2 linked regions of the Arabidopsis thaliana genome follow. The protein of the gene in region 1 interacts with the protein of each later gene in a pairwise test. Each region holds a gene or a part of one and is shown in the gene's direction. Other genes may lie near its edges.

Region 1 (5,851 bases):
AGGTGATTTGCCTGCTCTACTAAACCTGCATTGGCACATGCACTGATTAATGATGACCATGTATGAGTATTTGGGGTTACACCAACAGATTTCATATCATCTTTGACTTTGAGTGCCCATTTCCACATCTTTGCATCTGCAAAAACCTGATCTTAAGACATTATTCAGAGACTTAGGGATATAAAAGCAAAAACTAATGATAAACTTAGTTTTCCAAAAATACTGATATTGTACCTTTATAATAGTACAATATGTAAAGGCGTCCAACTTCAACAATCCGGAAGATTCCATTCGTTTTGCTTCTTTGTATATATCCTGGGCAAGATCAACCCGTCCAGCCAGGCAACATGTTTTCAGTAGTATGTTGTAGGATGTCATGTCAGCTGTAACATCAAGTATCTGCCCATGACATGTAGAGTTTCAAGGTCAGTCCACACCCACTCCTAAATCTAAAATACTCTCTAGACAATTCAAATACTTGTATTCAAGAGACAGAAGAAAGAACATACCTGCATATTCTTGTATACTTTTAGTGTGTACCCAAGATCATGGGAATTAACATTCATTAGACTGTTAATAACATAAATATTTGGCTTAATGTTTTCTTTGAGAAGATCCTGCCACAAAATTATGAATTAACTACAAATCTCAAATGCAGGATGGCAGACAAAATCGAGCGTAAAGGATACTTACGCAAAAATACAGTATAATTAGGGAATTACCTCATATATGTACCTCGATTTAACGTAATCACCACACAGGCCACAAACATCTATCATCGTTCGGCATATATACATGTTAGGAGTATCCAAAATCTGTTTGCAGGCTTCATATGCTGTCATAACAGAGACCATATCTCCTTTCTTTCCGAAACCATGAATAATTCTACAAAGCAATAACTCTGTATGCGGCAAAAGACATGCGTATCTGCATTCAATAATCATCAAATCGTTAGCAGAACACACTACATCCAGCATTCTTGTAATAACTTTCTGAATTTGAAAACCATTAACCTGAATCGTTATGTGGGAAACAAGGCTTACCTAATAGCTAATTGAGGATTGGAAATTTCAACACAACTCTTTACAACATCAAAAGGATCCACCAACTCTTTGATTTTGAATCCGAGACCTGAAATAAGAAGCAGGTAATCAATTCAAGAGTTCATAGTCACAGTGTAACAGCAAGAATTGATATAGTATTTACCGGCAAGTATCTCCATTAGATCAATAGCTTTCTCCACTTGCACAGAGTTAGCCATTGCTCGAAACTGTTTCCTCATTAATTTCACAGACGAATCATCGACAAGGTCCAATGGAGCAATTCCTACCTTCTCAATTCTCTTCAAAGTGTAAACGACGCTCTCAATCTTACCTTGTCGAAGATTCGACGAAATCCCTTTCGATAAGAGATCATAATCAACCATGGAAGCGAAACGAGCCACATTAGCTCCGGACTCTGCAGCCAAAGTCTCGGCGATGAGAGCGACGTCCTCAATTCGACCATCCTCAGCTAGCTTCGAGGCAAAATCAGCGTAATACTCAAGCGAGCCATCTGGAATCCATCTTACGACATTGGAGAAGTGGCTAGAGAGAGAATGAGTCGCGGAGACTGAAGCAGGAGAAGGTGAATGTTGCTGCGGTAGTGACGGAAGTAGCTTGGTGAAAGAAGAATTGGATTTAGTTTTCCGGTTGGACTCTGGTGCTGTGGCGTAACAGCGACGGTGGTGATGGTGAGGATTGGTTATGGCGGAGGAGGAGCCAAAGACAATAACAAAGTCTCTCATTCCTCGCCAACGGTTAGGATCATCATCGTATCATCATTGTGGCTCAGTTTTTCTGGTTTTCTAATTTCATGTAAATCAAATGGATTGGATTTGAAAGGCTATTTTTACAACTTCCACACCGGACCGGATTTGTAGTGTTAAAATACACCGGTATATATAAACCGATTTGGTACTTTGATTTTAAATTTTAAGAAATAAAATAAGAAAAAGGAGAAAAATGGATGGCCTGAAATTGCAAGCGAAGCGTCTCCACATATTATACACCAACTTCTTGCCCGCCATGTGGATATCGTCGTCATTTCTCTCTCTAACCCCTTCTCTCTTCAGTCTCTCTCTCTCTAGACGATCTCTATCTTGAATAAAATACCGATAATGACCTCAACCAATCCGGTGGTCGCCGAAGTAATACCGGCGGAAACTTCTACAGATGCTACAGAGACGACGATTGCAACGACGGAAGCTGGTGAAGCACCGGAGAAGAAGGTGAGGAAAGCTTACACAATCACCAAGTCTAGAGAGAGTTGGACTGAAGGAGAACACGACAAGTTTCTGGAAGCTCTTCAATTGTAATTTTACCGCGCTCTTTTTTTCTTCCACCAGCTATTTGATTGACTGATTCTTTGTGTTTCGAGCTCTAATTTATAGCTGAATTTTGCGTAATTTCGCGTAATTTCTACTTAATTTGCTTAATCAGATCGAAGTTTGGTTATGTGGTAGATCATCTGGAGTTTTGCGTATGCAATTGGATTTTGCAGAAGCAACAATGTCTTCTTTGATTTGTTAGGTTGGATTGTATATTCGATAGATCAGAATTTATATTAATCGCTGATGAATGTTTCTTCTCATAAAACCGAAGTATGGTTTAAGCTTATCTTAGGTTGCCAAAATGATTGAGTAGAGGACTTGGCATCTGGTTTCTGCATAAATAGTGGTATTTTGCAGAAGTCGTATCTTTCTTTATTAAAAATGTTTAACATGAGAACTGAAAAAACTTACTACAAGTCAGCTTTTAGAGCTATGCATGAAACCAATTTCCAACTACAGTCCTAAACTACAATTCAGATTTTGGTAATGGTTCGTTACTTCCACATATTACATTGCTCTTTTGTGTGTGTGAAAGGCTTCTCTCTCTTTTAGAAAAAAGAATCTTACTTTGTCCTGACAATTTTCTCGTGTCCTTAGGTTTGATCGTGACTGGAAAAAGATAGAAGATTTTGTTGGTTCAAAGACAGTTATTCAGGTTTGAGATCAGCTTCTTTGGATTTTTGGTTTAATATACAACCTTGGCACATTTCCCCACTCAATCATCCTGTGCCTGTTTGATTTACTGCAGATCAGGAGCCATGCCCAAAAATACTTTCTAAAGGTCCAAAAAAATGGGACTTTAGCACATGTTCCACCCCCTAGGCCTAAGCGCAAAGCTGCTCATCCATATCCTCAAAAGGCATCGAAAAATGGTTAGTTCTATTGTAATAGATATTACTTTGGGTTGACAGATGGAGTAACATGTAATCAATCTGATTTCAACTCAAATCTGCAGCTCAAATGTCGCTTCACGTTTCCATGTCCTTTCCTACTCAAATAAATAACCTGCCTGGATATACTCCATGGGATGATGATACATCTGCATTGTTAAACATTGCTGTAAGTGGGGTTATTCCACCAGAAGATGAACTTGATACTCTTTGTGGAGCAGAAGGCATGCGTTCTCATCTGTACTCAGTTTTTATATTTTGCTTTGGTAGTCTAGTCACTCTATCTTCTGAAGTTTTCATATGCTAAATGCGGCTTACATATCATTGTTTCAGTTGATGTTGGATCAAATGACATGATAAGTGAAACTAGTCCTTCAGCATCTGGTATCGGAAGCTCAAGCAGAACACTATCAGATTCTAAGGGTTTGAGACTGGCGAAACAAGCTCCCTCAATGCATGGTAATTATCTGAACAATTGAGGGACTATTTCTTAGTTTTCATTTTGTGGTGGACGCTGTTGTAATGGTTGCTTTGCAGGTCTTCCTGATTTTGCTGAGGTTTATAACTTCATTGGGAGTGTGTTCGATCCTGACAGCAAAGGCCGCATGAAAAAGCTCAAGGAAATGGATCCTATAAATTTCGAAACTGTGAGTTGGAGCTTTACTTGCCTTTAGATTAACTGATATGTGTGTTGCAGCATATCAATCATTTAGTCTTCTTCTTTGAGTTCCCGAATAAATTCAGCTGTGTGAGAAGATAAATATAAAGATCAGTACTTGCAATATATAGATTCACGAGTTGGAAACACCAAAAAGCCAAAGTACCATGATTCTATGGAGATGTTGGTCAAATAATGGGATTGTTACAACCATGAGTCAGTTTTAGGTGTCATGGTACCTATTTGTAGCTGTCAGTGATTGTTCTTTTTCCTAGTATCCGTCACTAATCACAGTTTTTCTTGCAGGTTTTGCTGTTGATGAGAAACCTCACAGTGAACTTGTCAAACCCTGACTTTGAACCTACTGTAAGTTATAATTTTATCATTACTTCTGTGCTCGTTGAGTATGTGAGGCACATTTGTCTTTTCGTGATAAGAATGAGTGAGAAAAAGTCTCTAACAGCTAACAAACCTACTTACTATCTGCCTTGAAGTTTAACTATAGAAATTAAGACTAGTTCGCCTTTAGTGTGTTATGTTTTTAACCGTTCCAATGATTAAATGAGGATTGTTGTGCTCTATGAGATATAATCTAACCATAATTTAGTCTGAATATGTTGATGCTGCAGAGGAAGGTCATGAACACTTAAGCTCTTAGCTGTTTGTGCACTCAACAAGTTATATATCTTCTTGACGACTTCTTGCTCGCAACAACTCTCTACCAGCTATCAAGTAAGTTTGGTGTTATACCGCATCCCTCCGACACCAATATAAAACACTATAATAAGAACGTTCGCATTGACTTAATAGATTATATCGAAACCTAACACCACAGTTCACTAAGGTTTTCACCTTAATGTTTCTCATTTGTTACTGTAGTTATTGTCTCACATGATCGAACGTCATAATAAGAATGATCTGTAGATCATAACTGTTATATTCTCAGCGTTGCTGCTATTATTCTGATTACACTACCCTTAAGGTCTTAAGAATATTGCTCTTACGGTCTACCAAATTGCTATTGATCTCTGTATATGGTGGATTGTGTCAGATGCATTCTACGGTTGTTGTCTGAGGAGAACATAACTGAGTCGTCGTCACAAACAAGAGGAACATATGCAGTTTCGGTCAGAACCAGTCGTGTGAATGGTAGATATATGTATGTGTGTGTAGAAAATGGTTACCAATTGTATCTTCTTTTTGATAATTATTTTTTCATGCCTTTTGTAATATGTAAGTTTCTTTACCTCGTTCTCTGATTGGTTATTTTCTGGTTATCTGTTTAACCAAAAGCTATGTAACACAGTAGCAAATTGTTACTTAACTCGGAAGTGAGATACATAACTCTGTTGTATTGCACTTGTATCAAGCGTTAACGTCCATGATTCGTCTCTGTTATTGTCAATAACAATTGTTCGAAAGCCAGGTTAATGGTAATTAGGAAATTGAACCGTATCGGTATGGTTTTAGCGGGTCTTTAGACTTTTCTAATTGATACTGAGGGTTTGCGAATTTTGTATAAACAGTTGAACACTAAACAGAGAAGAGAAGCTTCGTCTCTTTAATTATCTTCGATTTAAGAGATTCTTTCGCCGTCGGCGAAGATGCTACAGCATCAGATCGTACAATCTCCGGCGAGATTAGGGTTAACAGGTCCTGGCTCTCCTTCCGTACAAAATCCGACGCCTACTCGTCATGGCCATCCAACCTCTTCTTCATCTTCCCAATCTCAGCACCAACAGATCCAACAACAGCCTAATCTACTTCCTTCCTCCACCGTCGCCGCCGCTTCCTCAGCCTCAGCTTCGGCGGCTGTTTCATCCTCCGCCTTGCTATCGCTCCTTCCTCCATTACCGCGAGCTCAAGCTCTTCTCCAGCAGATGGCGGTTTTGACATCTAAGCTCTTCGACGTCTCTCCCAATCGAGCTATCT
Region 2 (6,763 bases), about 25 Mb from region 1:
ATTAGATAATATAGAGAGACACCCCACACGCTAAAAACCATGAAGCATCACTTTTTTGAAAAAAGTTTTTTCTAAATTGGTCATAATCCTCTTTTGTTTCTTTTATTCTCTTTTTGTGAAATTGCATCTTCAGCTGTCAAATTTACGTAGTTTCTTGCTCCACACGGCTGGAGTCCTGGAGATGCCGCGTTACTGAATCTGGATGGCATCGCAGCACTATCGGCGGCAAACGTGTGAAAACCACACACACACACCTATAAAACCCATTTTTAGTATCGATCGATTCACATTAGGCCCATTTATAGGGTCAGGCCCATGTAACATTCATTTCTTGAAAGAACAGGCAAGATTCTAAAACGTACCAAATAGACAGACAAAAATACATTTATCTTCGAAGTGATACATCTCCACAAACTCAGGAGTACAAACCTTTACAAGTGAAAAAACGCATCATCATCATCCATTCACGTCGCTTTTTCCCAACCGCTCTTTGCCGCCGAGCGTTTGGATTATAGCTTCTAAGAGTTTGATCTCGTTATCGCGTTTGGATATCTGTTCTTGCATTCCTCGAAGCTCTTCCATATGCAGCTTGAAAACCTCTGAAACCAAGAGTTGTATAAGTCAGTGAGTGAGAGTGAATATGAAACTGGAACGCAGATAAACGTGCGGGAGAGAATGGTGCCACCAGGCATCAACTCAAGAAGTGATTATCAAGTGCATACTTGTGGTGTTTTCAAGCTCTTTTGTGACATCTTGGGCACGTGATTCAGCAGCCTTTTGAGAGGACTCAGCTTGGCGTTTCTCAGACCGAGCATGAGCAGCAGCTGTAATGGCAGCATCTAGTTCTCTTTCTAGTGTTTGTACTCTTTGCTCAAGAACCTAAAACAAACCATTGAACAGAGTTAAGAGACAATCTGAAACTATCCCTTATCTCAAACATGTAACACAGTCCTTTTTTACTTACAACATGAAGAATTTCTACTTAATACACATAATTGCACTTGGGAGTTTTCATAGTGAAACCTCAAGTCCAGTCTTCAAGGATTTGGTGATCATTTGTACCATTAACAGATCACAAAATCGAAGATTCAAAATTTATGATCAACTACAAGTTCCCAAATTCACCGTCAAATGCAATTCCAGAATCACACTATTACACTGAGCTATAGTAGTACTAAAGCAAACTAAAAAGTGCGATCGTGATCAACTAGATCGAATCCACAAATCACAGAAGCAATCATCAAAGTCAAAGAAAAGAAGCTCAAAATTCAGACAATTAAGCTCTATAATTTCAAATTTTATCACAGGAAAAAGGATTAACCTTGATTGTTCGGGCTTGCTCGGAGACGAGAGAAGCTCTAGAGAAAGTGTCTTCTTCAACGAAGACTGCTTTCTTGAGGAGAAGTTTCTGAAGCGAATCGAGATTCGATGCCATCTCCGTTATATTCTCCAATGATCCTTTCCATCTCTCATCGCTCCCGCCGAATTGCTCCTCCATCGGAAAAAGATCAAAGGATCTCTCCCGGCGCCGGCAAATAAAAAAACTACTCGACTCGCAGATCGATCGGAAAAACAACTAAAGATTCTTTGGGCTTTCTTCGGCCCATATAACTATTGTTTTTTTTAACCGCATGGTAATTTGTTATACGTAAATAAAGGCTGATGTCATCATTACGATGTAAGCCAATAAGAAGATGAGGCGTGCCCAGTTTCGAGAAGGTACTAATGACGTGTACCAATAATAAAACTGGAACTGATAGGATCTCACACTGCTCTCTCGTCCACGAATTCTGATATTAAAAACCCAAGCCTGTTAAACCTTTTGATTTAGTTGCCACGTGTTGATATCATGGTCACTTGTCTTTTGATTCTCCCGAAACAAAAACAATAGTTTAATTAAAATTTAAAATGTTTGTCAAAAAAAAAAAAATAGGAAGCCTTCATCGTCTTCTGCCGAACATCTCTAGAAAGTCCTACACAGTTTTTTTTTTCGATCTAGCTTCGATGAATTGATACAATCTCTTCTATCTGCTGAGTTTTTTGTTTTCTGGTAAACAATTTTATCTGTGGAGTTTTCTGGAGTTGCTAGTGGAAGAATCTGTCTCACAGGTGAGCTTATTTCGTTCGGCTTTGATGGAATCTATTTCGATTGAATTTAATTAGAAAATTTGGTTCTTATCCTCAGTGTTTCCATAGCAGCGGTAGCTGAGGATTTCTCAGATTTGATTGTTTTTTTTTTTGTTGCAGTTAGTTTCATTGAATGCCTCATTTCACTGGATTTTAGTTGTTTTTGTAAACTCTCGGTTTAATAATGATAGTTTAACTCGATTTTGCTAGAAATTACGAGCATAAAATGGTTGAATCCTACTATCTGATTTTTCTCCTACTTTGTTTTTGTGCTACTTGCTATGAGATTTGACTTTTTGGCTGTAGAATTTGAGTCTAATTTCTGGAATTCATGAATAGTTGAAAGAATGGGTTAACTCTTAGGGTTTGGATTACATGTATTTCGGGTTTCATGGGATTTGATTCTGGATAAGAAAAGTCAAGTTTTCTTATATGCTGGGTTCGATTTCTCTATTATTGGAAGCTGTTTAATATATTTATATTTCCTATCCAGAACCAGAAATAGTGTTTGTGGGAGTTACATGTTTTGCAATAGAGATGACATATCGGGGTAATGTGCATGATTTTAGTGGTGATTAAAGAGTCTGAAGTTGGGAGGAATGTCGGACTTGTACATTCATGAGGTGAGTGGAGTCACAATCATATATGTGTGTGTATCTTTTTTCTATGAGACTATGGATTTAGATCTTTCGTTGTTGCTCTTGTCGTATGTTCCCGGAAAATGAACTGTTGTGAAATTTCCTTTTTTTATTGGGTTCAAAATCGTTTAAAATATAGGACAGTTCTTGCATCTCATATTTTACTTCTTGTTATCGCTACCACTTGGATGTGTTCTGTGCAGGATTGGGGATACTTTGTTAGTCTACTCGGTTTGATGTTTCCCTAGTCATTTTTTTCTTTGACTTGGTAATGTGGATTTCTAATTGGTGGCTGAAGTTTTCTTTCCTTTCTTTTCCTTTCAGCTAGGCGATTATCTTTCGGATGAATTTCATGGGAACGATGATGGTATAGTGCCAGACTCAGCGTATGAGGATGGAGGTCAGTTTCCAATTCTAGTTAGTAACAGGAAGAAACGAAGAAATGATGATATGGGTAGTGGAACAAACCATCTAAAGAGTAATACTTTTATCAAGAGAGAGGCAAACATGTTAGGAAAAAATCCATGGCCTGAGAAAGATAGTGGTGGCTCTTCGGTTTCTCGTGATACGGGAACAGGAAAAGATGTTCAGGATATGACATTGGAGGATACAAATACTTCAGATCATGGTTTCAATGGTGGCCACGTAGATGTGGTTGAAAATTTCTCCACTGGGGATCCCATGTTGTGTGACACTTCCGCTGCAACGAATGATGGCGTATATAATTATTCCCTCAACAGCATTCCGGATGCTGAAAATGATCTTAGCTTTTTCGACAATGGAGATAAAGAAAAAAATGATCTCTTCTATGGCTGGGGTGACATAGGAAATTTTGAGGATGTGGACAACATGCTTAGGTAACATTTTAGATATTCTCTTTTCTATATATTCTTATCACATTGGGGATCATTGCTTATGGGAGAAACATGGTAACATTTGTCTGAGCCTACACTCGTTTATTGGACGCACAGGAGTTGTGATTCAACATTCGGCTTGGATAGTCTTAATAATGAAGGTGACTTAGGGTGGTTCTCTTCTGCCCAGCCAAATGAGGAGACAGCAGGCGCGATGACAGATGATCTCAAACCAGACAAAATGTTGGAAAATCAAAGAACCGCTATGTTGCAGGTTGAAGACTTTTTGAACAACAGTGAGCCCAACCATGCTGTTGAAGATGAGTATGGATATACTATTGAGGACGATTCAGCTCAAGGAAAATCATCACAAAATGTATTCGATACAAGTTTGCAAAAGAAGGATATATTGATGCTGGATGTAGAGGTTAGTCAATTTCTTATTTCAGAATTGTTTGCGCCTTCCAAGGCACATGCAACCATTAACTACATGGGATGTTACCTTCTATGATGACTTATTTAGTTGCACGTTTTCCTCAGTTAAATCCTCTAACTATGATATGACGCTTTTTACAATGGTGGTTTATGGTTTCGTTAAGGGCAAGTGGATATTCTATTAGATAAGTATTTGTACTGTTGAAATCTTGACACTATTCCAGCAATTTCATATCAGTACAAATTTTTGTTATACAGGCAAATCTTGAGAAGAAGCAGACTGATCATCTTCATCATCTGGATGGGAAAAGTGATGGGTTCTCGGAGAACAGTTTTACTTTACAGCACAGTGGTATTTCAAGGGAAATAATGGATACCAACCAGTATTACCCTCCCTCCGCATTCCAACAGCGAGATGTGCCATACTCGCATTTCAATTGTGAGCAGCCTTCCGTTCAAGTATCAGCATGTGAAAGTAAATCTGGTATTAAATCTGAGAACAAACCCAGTCCTTCCTCTGCTTCAAATGAGTCATACACATCAAATCATGCACAATCAATCGAGAGCTTACAAGGTCCAACTGTTGATGATCGGTTTAGGAAGGTCTTTGAAACGAGAGCCAACTTGCTGCCTGGGCAAGATATGCCTCCTTCTTTTGCTGCAAATACCAAGAAGAGTAGTAAGACAGACTCCATGGTGTTTCCTGATGCTGCTCCTATCCAGAAGATTGGGCTTGAGAATGACCACAGAAAAGCTGCAACTGAATTGGAAACATCAAATATGCAGGGAAGTTCTTGTGTTAGCTCTGTTGTGGATGACATTTCACTGGAAGCAACAAGTTTTCGCCAGCTTCAACAAGTTATAGAACAGGTACAACTTGTCAATAGATAATTGTTGATATAAGGAAAAGGCTTCCTGGGAATCGGTAAAAGTTTGCTGTTCCTTTGTGATTGATATCAAAGTGTATATATGTTAATAAATTTACATATACATTTGCTTACTTGGTTGATAATACACTTGCTTGCTCCAGTTGGATGTTAGGACAAAGCTTTGCATAAGAGACAGCTTATACCGATTAGCAAAAAGTGCGGAACAGAGACATCATGGTGGAAACAGACCGGAGAAAGGCGCAGGCTCGCATCTCGTGACTGGTGAAGCAGACAAGTAAGCACCACATCCTACATAATTATTCAATATGTTCACCCTTTATCACCTGTTGCTAAGTAAAGTTCTTGATGCCAACTTATAACTTTATATAGGATTAGACTCGAGTCTTGACAGATTTAGTAACTCTCTTCTTTAGAAACTTCCACTTGGGCTCTTGTACTCGTCCTTCATTTCTCTTAGATTCTAATCTTTGATATCTGTATGTGGTCTCATCCAGGTATGCTGGATTCATGGATATCGAAACTGATACAAACCCGATAGATCGATCGATAGCTCATTTGCTGTTTCACAGGCCCTCAGACTCATCTCTTTCATCCGATAACAATGTTCTGTCTTATAAATCTCATCCAATGGTAAGTTAAACCTTCGATTCTTACACCGCCATTTAATGTGCAAAACACAGTGCCTCATTTTACCCATCACTATCTACACAGATTCCTCAGCCCAATAGTAGTCCGAGCCTGAGGATAGAGAAACAAGAGGAAACTACAGAACTTAGACCCGAAGCAGAAGTTGTAACAAGTGACAACAATTAATGATGTCAAATAAAACTGGCTCTTTCATTGCTGAAGCATTCGAGATATTGTTGTTAACACTAATCTCGATTTTGGCTAAGCGAAATTGCTCAGGTTAGTTACTAAAATCCTGACTGCTTCTTCATTAGAATCATGGATTTTGTAACACAGTTGTATTTATGTGTTGAGATAACTTTCTGGTCTAGATTTCGGTTCGAACCTGATTGTACACCTGGTTGCTCGAACCTGATTGTACACCTGGTTGCTCGAACCAGGTCTTTAAGATATGTTCTTTACCTTTGTAATCTGTTCAAGTTGTTAAGTAGAGGAAGAAGTAGAGACATAGCAATTCTGTAGATAAAGATGTTAGTTCGTTTTGTAATGCGATAAAATATTCTGCTGTGTATTTACTCTCTTTTTTTCAAAATAGCGAATTTTAGGGTTTTATTTTCCAATAAATATTTGATGATCTCATAAATATATATATTTCAATAATGATGAAATTAGACATTCCGAAGCAAATTATAAGATTAACCTTTGTGTCACAAGCTACGTTACAGAAATTGGATTTGGATGGTACAAATGTAGTAAAAGGTAAAAGAAACACTAATCGAAAGTTTGCCTAAGCTGCATCTCGGTTTCACTTTTCCAAGAAGCGTGAGAAGATTGTCCTCTCATTCTTTTGCTCTTCTCTTTATCTTTGATCGTAGAGCCTTTCTTCTTCGCGTCTACGTCCGGTAATGGCCGGTCACCACAAATCGGGCATACCATTCCTCTTGCGCTTGTATATGTTTTCGGTACACCGCATTGCACACACATCCTAAACTCATCATAGAAATCCTAATCAAGCTCACATTGTGCAAATTTATACTAAAGAATGAAGAAGAGGGCAAGGGTTATTCATACCTCAAGAGATCTGCAGATTCTTCTGCATTAGGATTGGTTGCAGTAGATATCCGCTTTTCACCACTCTCTGAAGATGGGGGTGCATCAATATCGTTTCTTACTCTCTCATGGATTCCTACTA

The links.
Region 2: the proteins of LCL1 (region 1) and AT5G64170 interact in a protein complementation assay, tested with the Arabidopsis thaliana proteins (one study listed by BioGRID).

The regions. Positions count from the first base shown.
Region 1 is NC_003076.8:646,636-652,486, forward strand, and holds LCL1 (LHY/CCA1-like 1), read left to right. Parts: upstream 1-2,012; 5' UTR 2,013-2,158; coding exon 2,159-2,352; intron 2,353-2,968; coding exon 2,969-3,026; intron 3,027-3,119; coding exon 3,120-3,243; intron 3,244-3,326; coding exon 3,327-3,485; intron 3,486-3,594; coding exon 3,595-3,720; intron 3,721-3,798; coding exon 3,799-3,908; coding exon of another isoform or gene 3,909-3,935; exon of another isoform or gene 3,936-4,050; coding exon of another isoform or gene 4,051-4,146; exon of another isoform or gene 4,147-4,220; intron 4,221-4,225; coding exon 4,226-4,285; intron 4,286-4,526; coding exon 4,527-4,577; 3' UTR 4,578-4,651; exon of another isoform or gene 4,652-4,970; 3' UTR 4,971-5,344; downstream 5,345-5,851. Other genes in the region: AT5G02830 (Tetratricopeptide repeat (TPR)-like superfamily protein), read right to left, coding at 1-146, 235-399, 510-617, 723-927, 1,044-1,131, 1,207-1,786; AT5G02850 (hydroxyproline-rich glycoprotein family protein), read left to right, coding at 5,524-5,851.
Region 2 is NC_003076.8:25,671,898-25,678,660, reverse strand, and holds AT5G64170 (dentin sialophosphoprotein-like protein), read left to right. Parts: upstream 1-1,837; 5' UTR 1,838-2,109; intron 2,110-2,620; 5' UTR 2,621-2,726; coding exon 2,727-2,750; intron 2,751-3,089; coding exon 3,090-3,622; intron 3,623-3,736; coding exon 3,737-4,046; intron 4,047-4,312; coding exon 4,313-4,924; intron 4,925-5,084; coding exon 5,085-5,218; intron 5,219-5,438; coding exon 5,439-5,574; intron 5,575-5,655; coding exon 5,656-5,757; 3' UTR 5,758-5,850; exon of another isoform or gene 5,851-5,942; 3' UTR 5,943-6,195; downstream 6,196-6,763. Other genes in the region: AT5G64180 (tropomyosin), read right to left, coding at 457-599, 723-879, 1,322-1,498; AT5G64160 (plant/protein), read right to left, coding at 6,343-6,556, 6,643-6,763. UniProt on the Arabidopsis thaliana protein: Transcriptional coactivator necessary for expression of the clock genes PRR5 and TOC1. Antagonizes REV8 function in the regulation of anthocyanin accumulation. Involved in red light input to the clock. Activates clock-controlled genes with afternoon peak.